Linked DNA regions of Oryzias latipes. The protein of the gene in region 1 purifies or fractionates together with the protein of each later gene. This does not show direct contact. Links are inferred from orthologs where the notes say so. Each region holds a gene or a part of one and is shown in the gene's direction. Other genes may lie near its edges.

Region 1 (2,788 bases):
ACACCGGCAGGACGGCCCTAACGCGTTGTTGTTGCAGGTCATGCCAAATGCGTGGAGTACATCAAGTCCTTCAACCTCCCGTTGCTCATGCTGGGGGGAGGAGGATATACCATTCGCAATGTGGCGCGCTGCTGGACTTACGAGACTGCTGTGGCTCTGGACACGGAAATCCCAGACGGTTGGTCTCTTGTTGTGTCAGAGAGCTTCAGCTGCTGTGACCTGCATGCATTCATGCAGGTACGCATGTGAACCAGCAGGGGGTGCAAACGTTCCGTGTAAAACGAAGGAGCGTTGTTCCCAGAGGACAGCTGCTTTTGTTGCAGGTGCTTCTGCGGACGAATCAACAATAGAACCAAAACGTTTAAAGCTGGTAGCTATAATTCAGATTGTATTTTGACTTCAGTTAACACAACAGTCTTTTCCCATGATGCTTTTGGGCCTCTGAGCTCCTCATTCTGTGCAGCTGCTGGAAGCATCAGTTTGTCTGCTTTCCATGCAGAGATCTCCTGCATCTGACTCTTTCTTTGACTCCTTCAGAACTGCCTTACAACGACTACTTTGAGTACTTTGGACCCGACTTCAAGCTGCACATCAGCCCCTCCAACATGACCAACCAGAACACACAGGAGTACCTGGATAAGATCAAGTACGTTTGTCTGGAATTACCGGGCCTTTGCTTCTGTGTCGGTATTGATGAAATAACCAGAAAAGCAGCACTGATATGCAACACGATGGTGAAGTGTTTGCACGATCAATGTAAACCAGCTGGTTCTGACCCGGACAACAGTGGCTTTGCTAACGTGAAGTGTTGCATTGTGGCACAAAGCTGCTCTGGAGTTACACTCATTGCATAAACAGTTGTAGAGTTATGATAACGTGGTAAGAACGTTTGTTCTTTTGCACTTGTTGGTGACTGCTCTGACATCAAAGTGTTCAGGCCCTTACTTGTATTTTTAAAATGGCAGAGTGAAAATCATTTGGATAACGGAGTCGAGGCTCTCATCAGCTTCAGTTGTCCTGCTGTGACTATTTTTTATTCTTTTTACAAGCAAACGGCTCCTGATTGTCTGATTTCACTACCAGTCTACAGCAGCACTCAGACGATCTAGTAATCCTTGGCACCGGGTTGAGCGGCCATCTCATTTAGCCGTTTTTCAGTTGAACTGAAACCAAACGGTTTGTCTTTGTGTGATGAAGTAGTTGTTTAAACGCCTCTTGGGAGTCAGACTGACGGCCCGTGTGTGTGTTCAGGCAGCGCCTGTTCGAGAACCTGCGGATGCTTCCTCACGCTCCAGGAGTTCAGATGCAGGCCATCCCAGAGGACGCCGTCCCAGACGATCCGCTGGACGAGGACAAGGAGGATCCCGACAAACGCCTGTCTAGTAAGACTGCTCGCACTTCCCGCCCTCCACAAACCTCCCGTGATCGCCCACGTCCCCGCTGCTGCATCAGCGTGTTGCTGTGTGTCCACAGTTCGGGCCACGGATAAGAGGATAGTCTGCGAGGAGGAGTTCTCCGATTCAGAGGACGAAGGGGAGGGAGGCCGGAGGAACGTGGCCAGCCACAAGAAGGGAGGCAAGCGGCCCCGCCTGGAGGAGGAAAAGAAGGAGGGAGAGGAGAAGAAAGCTGGTTGGTAACGGGGCAGATGGGAAGGAAAGAAGCTGGATGGAATCTGAAGCGTCTGACGTTTCTACTTCCATCCATAGATGTAAAGGAAGAGGAGAAGACGAAGGACAGCAACTCAGAGAAAACGGATTCCAAAAGGTGAAGTGTCAGCAGCTCCTGTGGAGGACTCCATCCTGTGATGGTCTCACGTTGTTTGAGCTTCCTGTTCGGACTCCACCCTCACATCCACCTGTCACCTTCCTCTGCAGTGTGAAGACGGAGCAGAGCAGCAGCGCCTGAACCCGGTTCTCCGCCGTGCAGCTCGTCACGGAGAGGCATTTTATTTATTGAGACTCCATGGTTGGACTCCAAGTCCCTTCCAACAACCACTTTGCATTTTTTCCAGAACCATGTGTTTCCAATGTGCTTGATCTTCTGAAGGAAACTTGAGCTCTTTTTGTTTTTAGCAAAACTCTGCAGGTGAAACTCCAATAGAAGTTGTTAATTTTTGATAATTTGCCTTTGTTAATAAAACTTTTTATACTGTTTCCTGAGCAGATTCTTTTGGGGGATTTGTGTAGTAAAACTGTTCAGACACTAGAGGTCACCAAGAGTTTTTGATTTCCATAATTATTACATTCTGAGGTAGAATCACATACAGGAATCATTTGGTCAGCATGAAATCCAGAACTACTTGTGGCTTTTTTAACTTTTAGTTTCGAATTTTGTTCAAAAAGTGGTTAAACATTTGACCCACATAGAAGTTTTATTCTCCAGAGGAGTAGTCTGTCGACAAAATGTTTTAAGAAATCCAGATTCAACTTAAAACGACCCCACCTGAATGATTCTGGGCTTTAAAAACAGGCTGACATGCTGTAAAGATCATGGATGTGCTCTGACATGTGGGCAGAGAGGACAGGCGGGTGGGTTCTGTGCTGGTTTGGGACAGGAAAGATGAGAATGAGGCAACATTGACTTCACTCAGCTCCCGCCGCACAGGTTAACGTGTCACACCTGGATAGGATGACGGTGGGAACAAAATCAAATAGGATCCAGATTTGTTTCAGCCTGTTTCTGCCGTCAGAAGCAGCCGCTGTGCTTCAGGGGGCTGGTAACACTTTTCCCACCAAGTCGCTGCAATCTGCATGTCAGGTACGTAGGTCTAATTCCATATCGTTTATTT
Region 2 (4,206 bases), on another chromosome or scaffold:
ATCAAGAATTCTTAAAAATGTAAAACTGTTTATTTATAACCCTTGTGCTAGCTTATGGGGTCAAGATGACAATTGCCGTGTTCTCCCTGCCATGACAAAGGTGGATAAAGGTGGAAAGATTTCATGTAATCCATGGACACCAGTGAAGATCACAAATCATTGAAGAAAAAAGGTTCAGCGCACTGTGTAGTGGGTCTAGATGACCCAACTCCCAACATTAAAGTGCCTAGGATAGCACAAGGGTTAAGTGTACTTTGGTAGGCTGTTATCCTTTTCTTTACTTACTATCCTATTGGTGTTAACCTGAATTTGATTTCATTGGTTTATATTATGATCCAATAGAAAATTGTATACATAGAAAAGGAACATTTAAATATTTTTAGCAACTCCCCTCTGGACAGCTACTAAACATCATTGTGCAGCACAAGTTAAAAGATGCTTTAAATTCATGAAATAAATATGGTAATGAAAGATCATACTTTTTATTTGTAATGAAAGTGTTACTTTGTAGGTACATTCTGGTATTCTGGAGGAATGATAGAGCAAACCAGTCCTCTAGTGCAATGTCAACAGTGCTAAACATTCACACAGTTTATCTTACTATTCTAGGTACGCCTCAGCACAATAACATAACCTCAACAAACTTAAATTGAATTAATGCTAATTAGCCATATGCTTCTCATTTCTATAATTATTTTTTTCTTCAGCTAGAGAGCCACAATGGAGGGTAAAGAGCCAACCTTCAACTCTGGGGTCTCAGGTTGCAGACCTGGTTTAGTCTGTATATGTTTTGTCACAGTGTTTACTGGTAAAGACACCTCATCATGAACATGAACAATGAAATCGGTCAGATACAATTTTTTATGGGTGAAATATTTTTAAAAACTGAACACACTTTTAGCAAAAAGTAGTCTTTAAGGTGTGCTACACAAATACTAAAGGTGAGGCAGTATTCTTTAAGTATACTTTTCATATTGTACACGTAAAATGTTCCAATTTAGTCTGAAGAAGTATTTAGTCAGTACACTTCATACACTATGCATACTAGGTCTATAGTATACTTGACACAGTATACTTACGTATACTTAATCCAATCAACTTTGAGTGGACTACTTTTTGATAAGGGAAAGGATACTACTGTAAGTCATGTAATTTCAGCTGATTATTAAAGATAACTACATTTAATTATAGTTAACTCTAAACTAGACTCAAGCAATTCTTTTTAGAGCTGTTTAAAATTAAAGAATTGACAACTTAAGAGAGTAAAATTTGAATTTTCTTAAGTCCATCAACTACCAAAAACAACAACACATAATTCAAAAATAACTCCAAATGACTCCAAAACTGCCAAAAACCTTCCCGCAAATGTCATAAATAAAAATAAAGCACTAAACAGCAAGAAGTTTATTTGAAAATATGTAATTTTGCCTTATTTTCTCCGTTGGAATCAACGGGAATTTGTTCCTTTTATCTGACACGAGACTTTTATTTTGGAGAGCGGAAAAGGCGTAATTTCACACAAGCTAACAGCTAACGGCAACGTCACGGGAGACCGAAGCGGAGCAGCCGGTAAACGGACGTACGCGGCTGCACGCGCACAGACTTTCAGACTTTCTTCATGTTGCTGCTGACGTAAAGAAGCTTCTGGAAGCTTTACGTGCACGAGCACGCTCTACATGGCCACGCAGGAGCTGTACGAGGTGACAAAAGCTAATGCTAATGCTAACCGTGAAGTTTAGGATGGTTGGCAGGTTTTTAAAGTTTATGCTGTGACGTCAGTATGCTAGGAGTAAAAAAAAACAACCCCTCTGATCGTTACTAGCTGACGTCACCGAACAACTCCTCCATGACGTTGACGTGTGTCCCACAGGTGGAGAGGATCCTGGACAGGAGAAGGAGCAGGAAGGGGAAGGTTGAGTACTTGGTCAGGTGGAGGGGCTATGGTGCAGAGAGTGACACCTGGGAGCCTGAGAGTCACCTGTCCACCTGTGTGAGTTACGTTCAAGAGTTCAATCGCCAGTATGCTGAGCGACAGAGGGAGGGGGCGTTGATGCGCTCCACCCGCAGCCTCGCCCATCGACCACAGTGTGGCCCGCCACCCAGTTCCCCTGCATCTGCTGACCTTAGCAGCGAGGTCAGCAGGGCCTGTGTCCAGGTGAGGACGCCCCTCAGTCCCACTCACCTGTCCTGCTCCGCCCCCTTAACCTCACCTGACAGGTTTACCCCCTGCGCCATCTCTGCCCCTCTGGGGGGCTTTGCACGCCGAGGGGTGGACCTTTCCAAGACGGGCATCAAGATCCTGGTTCCAAAGAGTCCGATGAACTGCCGCCCCGACTCAGAGGAGTCCCCCAGCGAGGCGGCGCACAGCTTGGAGGCGGGCACTCAGGAGGCTCACCTGGTTCCGCCAGAGGTCGCCCTGCTGGAGAAACCTGTAGTGCAGCTTGGCCCTGGGGAGGAAAGGGCTCGCATTGGAACCAGGCCCCGGACCCAGAATCCCCTCTCCCCGCCCCGGGCCCCCATCACACCTGCGGCTGTTCGCTCCCTCAGCAGCTCAGGTGAGTCATGTGGCAGTCACGTGGAGCTCACACCCACGGTTTTTCGAGCCGGAACTTGACCATATGAGAATTTTATTTAGAAACCCATTCCAGAGAGACTACTGAGATGAAAGTGGTGTTTTAAACATGTTGTTGTGGTATTTTTATGATGATGGAGAACAGGCTTTAGGAAATGAAACTTAAAATGATATTTCTTAATATTTCCTCAATCACACTGTTGTTAATCAGGAGACAAACAAGCTGTTTGAAAATGCCTGTGCCAGTGATACAAGTGTTACAATCAGCGAGCCACAAGCTTCCTGCTGTTCTCCGTTCTGATGCTTCCACGTGTAGACAAATAGATCCATCTTTGTCTTTGTTTTCCTCGTCTGAGCTGGCATCTGGCTCAAAACTGTACGGCTGATTATCCTCAATATTGCTCGCCATTTTGGTTGCAGCGGTCTGTAAGCTTTTGGGAGAGCGTGTAAACAAAGGGATGATGGGAAGTGAGGAAAGACTTACTCTGTGCGAACAGTCTTGCCCCCAACTCCCAGGTGACTTTCTAATCAACTCCTGCCGCTCTGCCCTAAAAAAAAGACATGGGTTTATTGGCTTTGGGTAAAACGGCATAATCCTCATAAAAAGACCACTAGGAACAATTTTACAAAAGATAATTGGAGTGGGACTTTAACAGGTCATTTACAACTCATTAACTAATAGTTTTTTTAAGAATTTGTTAACTAGCTAGAATGGATAGGAGTGGAACTTTACCTTTCATCCATGAAACCCCACATCTGATTTTGGCAACATTTTTAAACAAGCTTTGGTGGATATTTACAGTCTAACTTTTTCTTTATTAAAGACATAAAAGTCAGATCATCTCACAGGTAAGTTAACAAAAAACAAAAAAAACTTGTTTGCAAGAATCAACGAAAGCCCAGTTTTCTTTTATTCCTATCAATATTATTAGTGTTGGGTCCATCAAGTAGTTGAATGCATGCTAGGTCTTGGTTCTGGCGAAAGCCCGGCAAATTCACATGAGGCAGTTGAGGTGGTGAGATTCACGTCCCAAAGGTTTTAACTCGACTAAAACTTATTTAAGCTCTCGAGTCCTCAGAAAGACATTCTGAGGTTGGGAGCCGTGGATTTTCTTTTTCCCAGGTTTACACCAAAAATATCAACGTTTTGTGTATTTTACTTGGTTTGTTCTTTGGAAAACACACTGATCTATTTTGAAAGCGTTCCCAGTGGTCTTCTAACAATGATAGTGGAGTTTAAGCCAAAAAAAAAAAACAGTCATTTTCTTGGACATGGTTTCTGCAGAGTGGTCAGTAGATCATTAGAAAATTACCTCTGAGTTTTTAGGTGGGACCATTAACCCTCCACCATCCCTATCTGTTGTGGAAAAGAGTGGAGCAGGAAGCTTGTGGCTCTGGCTCAGCGTATTTTCTACGTCACAAATGAGCTCTTTTTCAAACACATTGTTCCAACCATCAGATTGATTTCATTTAATGCCCATTTGAGGCCATAAAAGTGGACCCAAGGCATACCACATAAGCTTCTTGGGTTCAGACGAAGGAAGTTCTCCGCTATCTAAGTTGAAATATCCAGGAAACAGGTGCCATGTCACCTGGAGAGATGGTCATAGATCCACATGAAGCTTAGTGTCATC
Region 3 (4,135 bases), on another chromosome or scaffold:
GAGCGACTGCGAACACTTGCAGGGATGTCTGAGCTTCACTGCCTCTTTTACAGCAGACACACACACACACACACACACACACAAACACACACACACACTGGGGGCCCACTTTATCCTGCTGCACCGTCTCCTTGCCATCCCCTCCTACCTTCTTCCATGCATCCTCCTGTCCTGCTCCCTCATCGCTCTTGAGTTTCCTGTTTTCAAACAGATGTTGCCTTAGGTATTATTTATGTTACACAAACCAAATAAACAGGAGACATCTTTGCTTTTTTCTTTAGATGTGCTACCAGGTGGAGCTACATCTTGTGGGAGAATCTTGGATTTTCCTTTTTTGAGATTCTGTTTTTTTTTTTAAACCAATATTTTTTAGGTGTGTTTCATATTTGCCGTAGGCCTTGATGCAGTGATGCTGTTCAGATAAACCATGTGTTTGAATGCTGGTCTGTTTATAAATTGTGATCGCGACCCTTCTCAACGCCAAGCCTTGGACTGATTTGTTAGCTGAAGAAAAATCCATTCAGATGTGATTGTTTTTGCCTTCTCAATGATGTTTCCAGATAGATCGACTGCTGTTTTTTAGTTTTTACTTTTCTTCCCTTTTTCGATCAGTAAAATTGCACCAGGCAAGTTCAGTCAGCAGCTGAATTTCAGTGGATTTTCATTTTTAAAGTTCAAGTTTTGGATTATTATTATGTCTTCTTAGACTGTTATTGACAAGTCTGGTTTTTTTTTTACTGTTTGGGAAAGAAAAAAAACGATTTTACCATTGAGGTTAAATACAAGAGCTAAACCATGCAGATTAGACGTGTTAGGGGAGTGTACAGTTTTTAAAAATTAGGCAAACCAACAAACACATGTAGCAATATCAACAACAGGTCTTGTTTTTGCCCAATTTTGTTACTTTTATGCAACTTTAATAAAAAATATGTAAAACTGACGATTTGTGGATCATTTTCTTTTAATGTCAATATTTTTGCTCTTCCGTTTATTATTACACGTATCAAAAAAAATTTTGCTGTATATGCATGAGGTTGAGCAAAATTATTTTATGCTCAATTTCATTTTACATTTTGCGTTTCATGTGACGTAAACATAATCAGAAATTGTATTTTTTTCTTGTAGTGTTGTGTTTAAACAACAATTTTTCATTCTACTTAATTATATTATATTTAAATTATATGTTGGAGATGTATATCTAAATTACAATTGGTTCATAGAAGCTGTGTCTTCATTCTGATTGGACAGGGTGCTTGCGGGATGGTTCTTCCTATTGGATAGTCAGGAGCAGCCCTCGACGCTGATTGGTTGATTTTACAGTTCACAGAGTCCGGCAAAGTGTCTAACTGAAGAGGAGCCGATCGAAGAGGAAGTACTTTCCAAAATGGAAATATATCATTAAACCGAACGTTTCTTCTGCATAGCTCGGCTAAGGGACACGGTAAGATGGCTTTCACGTCTGACTTAACAGTAATAAAGATGATTTATGTTTGTTAGTAGCGGATAGCATCCCCCTGTCCGCTCGGACTCAGGGAGTGCGTTCTTCGAGTTAATCCGTGTAGTTCGGTTGGCAGGTCGGTCTGCAAGATGCTCCTATGATTCTCTGGAGTGCTAATTTCCATCTTTAATTAATAAAAACGTTTCAAGAAGATTTCCATGAGAAAGGCGGTTCCTTCGTGTGTAAATGTGATGCGTGCGCAGTGACTGCCGTCTCCGTTTTTGATTCAATTGTTAGCTTGTGTTGCACTTGACTTCACGGAGGTGTGTTTGAGCTCAATGTGGTGAAAGTGCGGCCGAAATGCGAAATAAACATTACAGGGTTTTTAAGTGAGTGCAGCCTTCAAAACGAGCGTCTCTTTTCCTGACTTTAGTGTAGGCTTTAAATCCCGCCGTTGCTTTCATTTTGTTTACCAGTTTACTCTACCTCCATACGGAAGCCAGTTTTGGTCAAGTTAAGCACTGTGAAAGCGGACTTCCGGTTTGAATAAAAACCTAAATGGCAATTTTCAACATTATTGAACCTTTTTAGGCCTTTAGACGTTTAGAAAAAAATTATTTTCAGTTTTTACCACACGCTTATTACACATTTTGCCATGTTATGCAATGTAAAATAATTATTGTTTATTTAGCATTTGTTTTTAGCTAATCGATTTCCGGTTTTGACCCTTGTTATTGTAGCTTTATTAAAGCTAAGTCATCGTCAAGGTTTGACTTAACCACATTACATACTGAATAAATGTAGTTGTAATTTAATGAATTCACCTGTAGAACGTGTATAATAATGTAACGTGAATCTGTTAGACCAAAAACTGTTTGGACATCTTTAAGAATCTTTAAAACTCCTAATGTTATCAAATAAACGAGGTCATCCCATCAGTAAAAACACAAATGCCGCATATCTTACAAACATCATCACAAGAATACTTTAAAAAATATATGGCTTTGATTTAAAAGCATTTGTTTTGCCAGATGTTATAAATGCATTTCTGACATACAGTGTAGGAAGTGTTTGATCTCTTGCTGATTTTGTTGGTTTGCATTCAAAAGAAATTGTCATCTGAACACTATGTTCATTTGAACAGTGAAAGATAGAAAAGCGAGAAATCGATTTTAAAGTATTTGTGAATTTATTTGCGTTTCATTGAGGGAAACTATTATTTTAACTGTCTTGCTGGGAAGACGTAGTACTTTATTGGAAAAGCCTTATTAGCAGCACAGAAGTCAGACATAGTTGATTATCAGGTTTCTGCACATATCAGGAAGAATCTTGGTCCACTCTTCTTTGCAAATGACTTCTAAATCATCAAGCCTTAATGGCTGTCGCTTAGCAACCCTAAGCTTCAGCATTCCCCATAGATTTTCTATAGGACTGAGGTCCAGGGCCACTCCATGGCTTTGATCTGCTTCCTCTGCAGCCATTTCCATGATTGACTTGGCTGTATGATCAGATTTAACTTCCTCCTCCACGCTCGACAGTGGGGATGGTGCTCTTGGGGTCAACAGATCTAGAATCTTCTCCAAATAATCCAGTGAAAGCTCTTTAGTCTCTCATGTTGGAGAGTTTGGAGTCTGAATGATTCTGTGGACAGGTGTCTTTTCTACAGGGGATTGGTTCAAACAGGTGTCTTCAATTCAGGTGACAGGATTAGGAGAGTCTGTGTGAACCAGAACTCTTAATTCTTACTAAAGGATCAAATACTAATTTCCCTCAGTGAAATGCAAATAAATGTATATCAATTCTTTTAAATGGATTCATTGGTTTTCTTTGTGATTTTCTAAATCGCATGAACCATTAAGATGACAGACTAAAACCTTTTTCAGTAACACTCAGGTAGGTCTGTGGACCATCAGGGACATGTGGATTTTGTGACTGAAAGCTTTTGTCGTTGAGCTTGTCGTTGTTGTTTCCAGCTCGCCATGCCGGCCCAACCCCCTGTGAGGGAGCCAGAGGAGAAGATGGGGGCAGAAGGAGAGTCCCAACTCCCTACGGCCAACGGCGACACGGAGGAGCCAAAGCGGAATGAAACGAGAGCAGGAGGGGGAGGAGACGAGCCCATGGAGGAAAGCATGGAGGAGAGGGACAGCGACCTGGATGAGACTGAAGAAGAGGAGGAGGAGGAGGAGGAGGAAGAGGAGAGTTCAGGTAAAAACAAAAAAGGTTTTTTATAGAAGTGATTCAAAAATGCAGAGAGAATAAATTTCCTTTATGTGTCCTTTTGTGAAGAGATGGACGATGAAGACTGTGAGCGGAGGAGAGGAGAGTGTCTCGATGAAATGATGGATCTGGAGAAACAGTTTCAGGAGCTGAAGGAGAAGTAACTCCAAACTTGGCACTGGGGGGGGGGTATTATGGGATGTGGTCTGCTATGTGAACATCACTGGTCAGGAAAACCTCGACTAAAGGGCCTCTGTGCTTGCAGGCTGTTCCGGGAGCGGCTGAACCAGGTGAAGGTGAAGCTGGATGAGGTGCTGACAGGAAAGGCTGGAGAGTACCGGGAGCCGCTGACGGCTCTGCAGAACAGCATGCAGATACGGACGCAAGTCGCCGGTAAAAGAAAAAAACCCTCCTCCCTTCTGCAGCTACGTTCACCCCGCCTCAGTAACGCACATTCAGGCGTAAATGCACGTCAATGTG

The links. Proteins that work in one complex are often made in the same cells at the same time.
Region 2: the proteins of hdac2 (region 1) and cdyl purify together in Homo sapiens (affinity purification with mass spectrometry; 6 studies listed by BioGRID and IntAct, with this or other methods). This does not show direct contact. The link is inferred for Oryzias latipes from reciprocal best matches to the Homo sapiens genes HDAC2 and CDYL.
Region 3: the proteins of hdac2 (region 1) and brms1 purify together in Homo sapiens (co-immunoprecipitation; 4 studies listed by BioGRID and IntAct, with this or other methods). This does not show direct contact. The link is inferred for Oryzias latipes from reciprocal best matches to the Homo sapiens genes HDAC2 and BRMS1.

The regions. Positions count from the first base shown.
Region 1 is NC_019882.2:21,621,062-21,623,849, forward strand, and holds the end of hdac2 (histone deacetylase 2), read left to right. Parts: intron 1-37; coding exon 38-178; intron 179-537; coding exon 538-646; intron 647-1,251; coding exon 1,252-1,382; intron 1,383-1,473; coding exon 1,474-1,629; intron 1,630-1,706; coding exon 1,707-1,764; intron 1,765-1,874; coding exon 1,875-1,905; 3' UTR 1,906-2,153; downstream 2,154-2,788. UniProt on the Homo sapiens protein: Histone deacetylase that catalyzes the deacetylation of lysine residues on the N-terminal part of the core histones (H2A, H2B, H3 and H4).
Region 2 is NC_019875.2:12,883,792-12,887,997, forward strand, and holds the start of cdyl (chromodomain Y-like protein), read left to right. Parts: upstream 1-1,380; 5' UTR 1,381-1,676; coding exon 1,677-1,700; intron 1,701-1,870; coding exon 1,871-2,555; intron 2,556-3,056; exon of another isoform or gene 3,057-3,120; intron 3,121-4,206.
Region 3 is NC_019876.2:12,603,368-12,607,502, reverse strand, and holds the start of brms1 (breast cancer metastasis-suppressor 1), read left to right. Parts: upstream 1-1,309; 5' UTR 1,310-1,441; intron 1,442-3,220; exon of another isoform or gene 3,221-3,331; intron 3,332-3,411; 5' UTR 3,412-3,417; coding exon 3,418-3,643; intron 3,644-3,724; coding exon 3,725-3,815; intron 3,816-3,920; coding exon 3,921-4,048; intron 4,049-4,135. UniProt on the Homo sapiens protein: Transcriptional repressor. Down-regulates transcription activation by NF-kappa-B by promoting the deacetylation of RELA at 'Lys-310'. Promotes HDAC1 binding to promoter regions.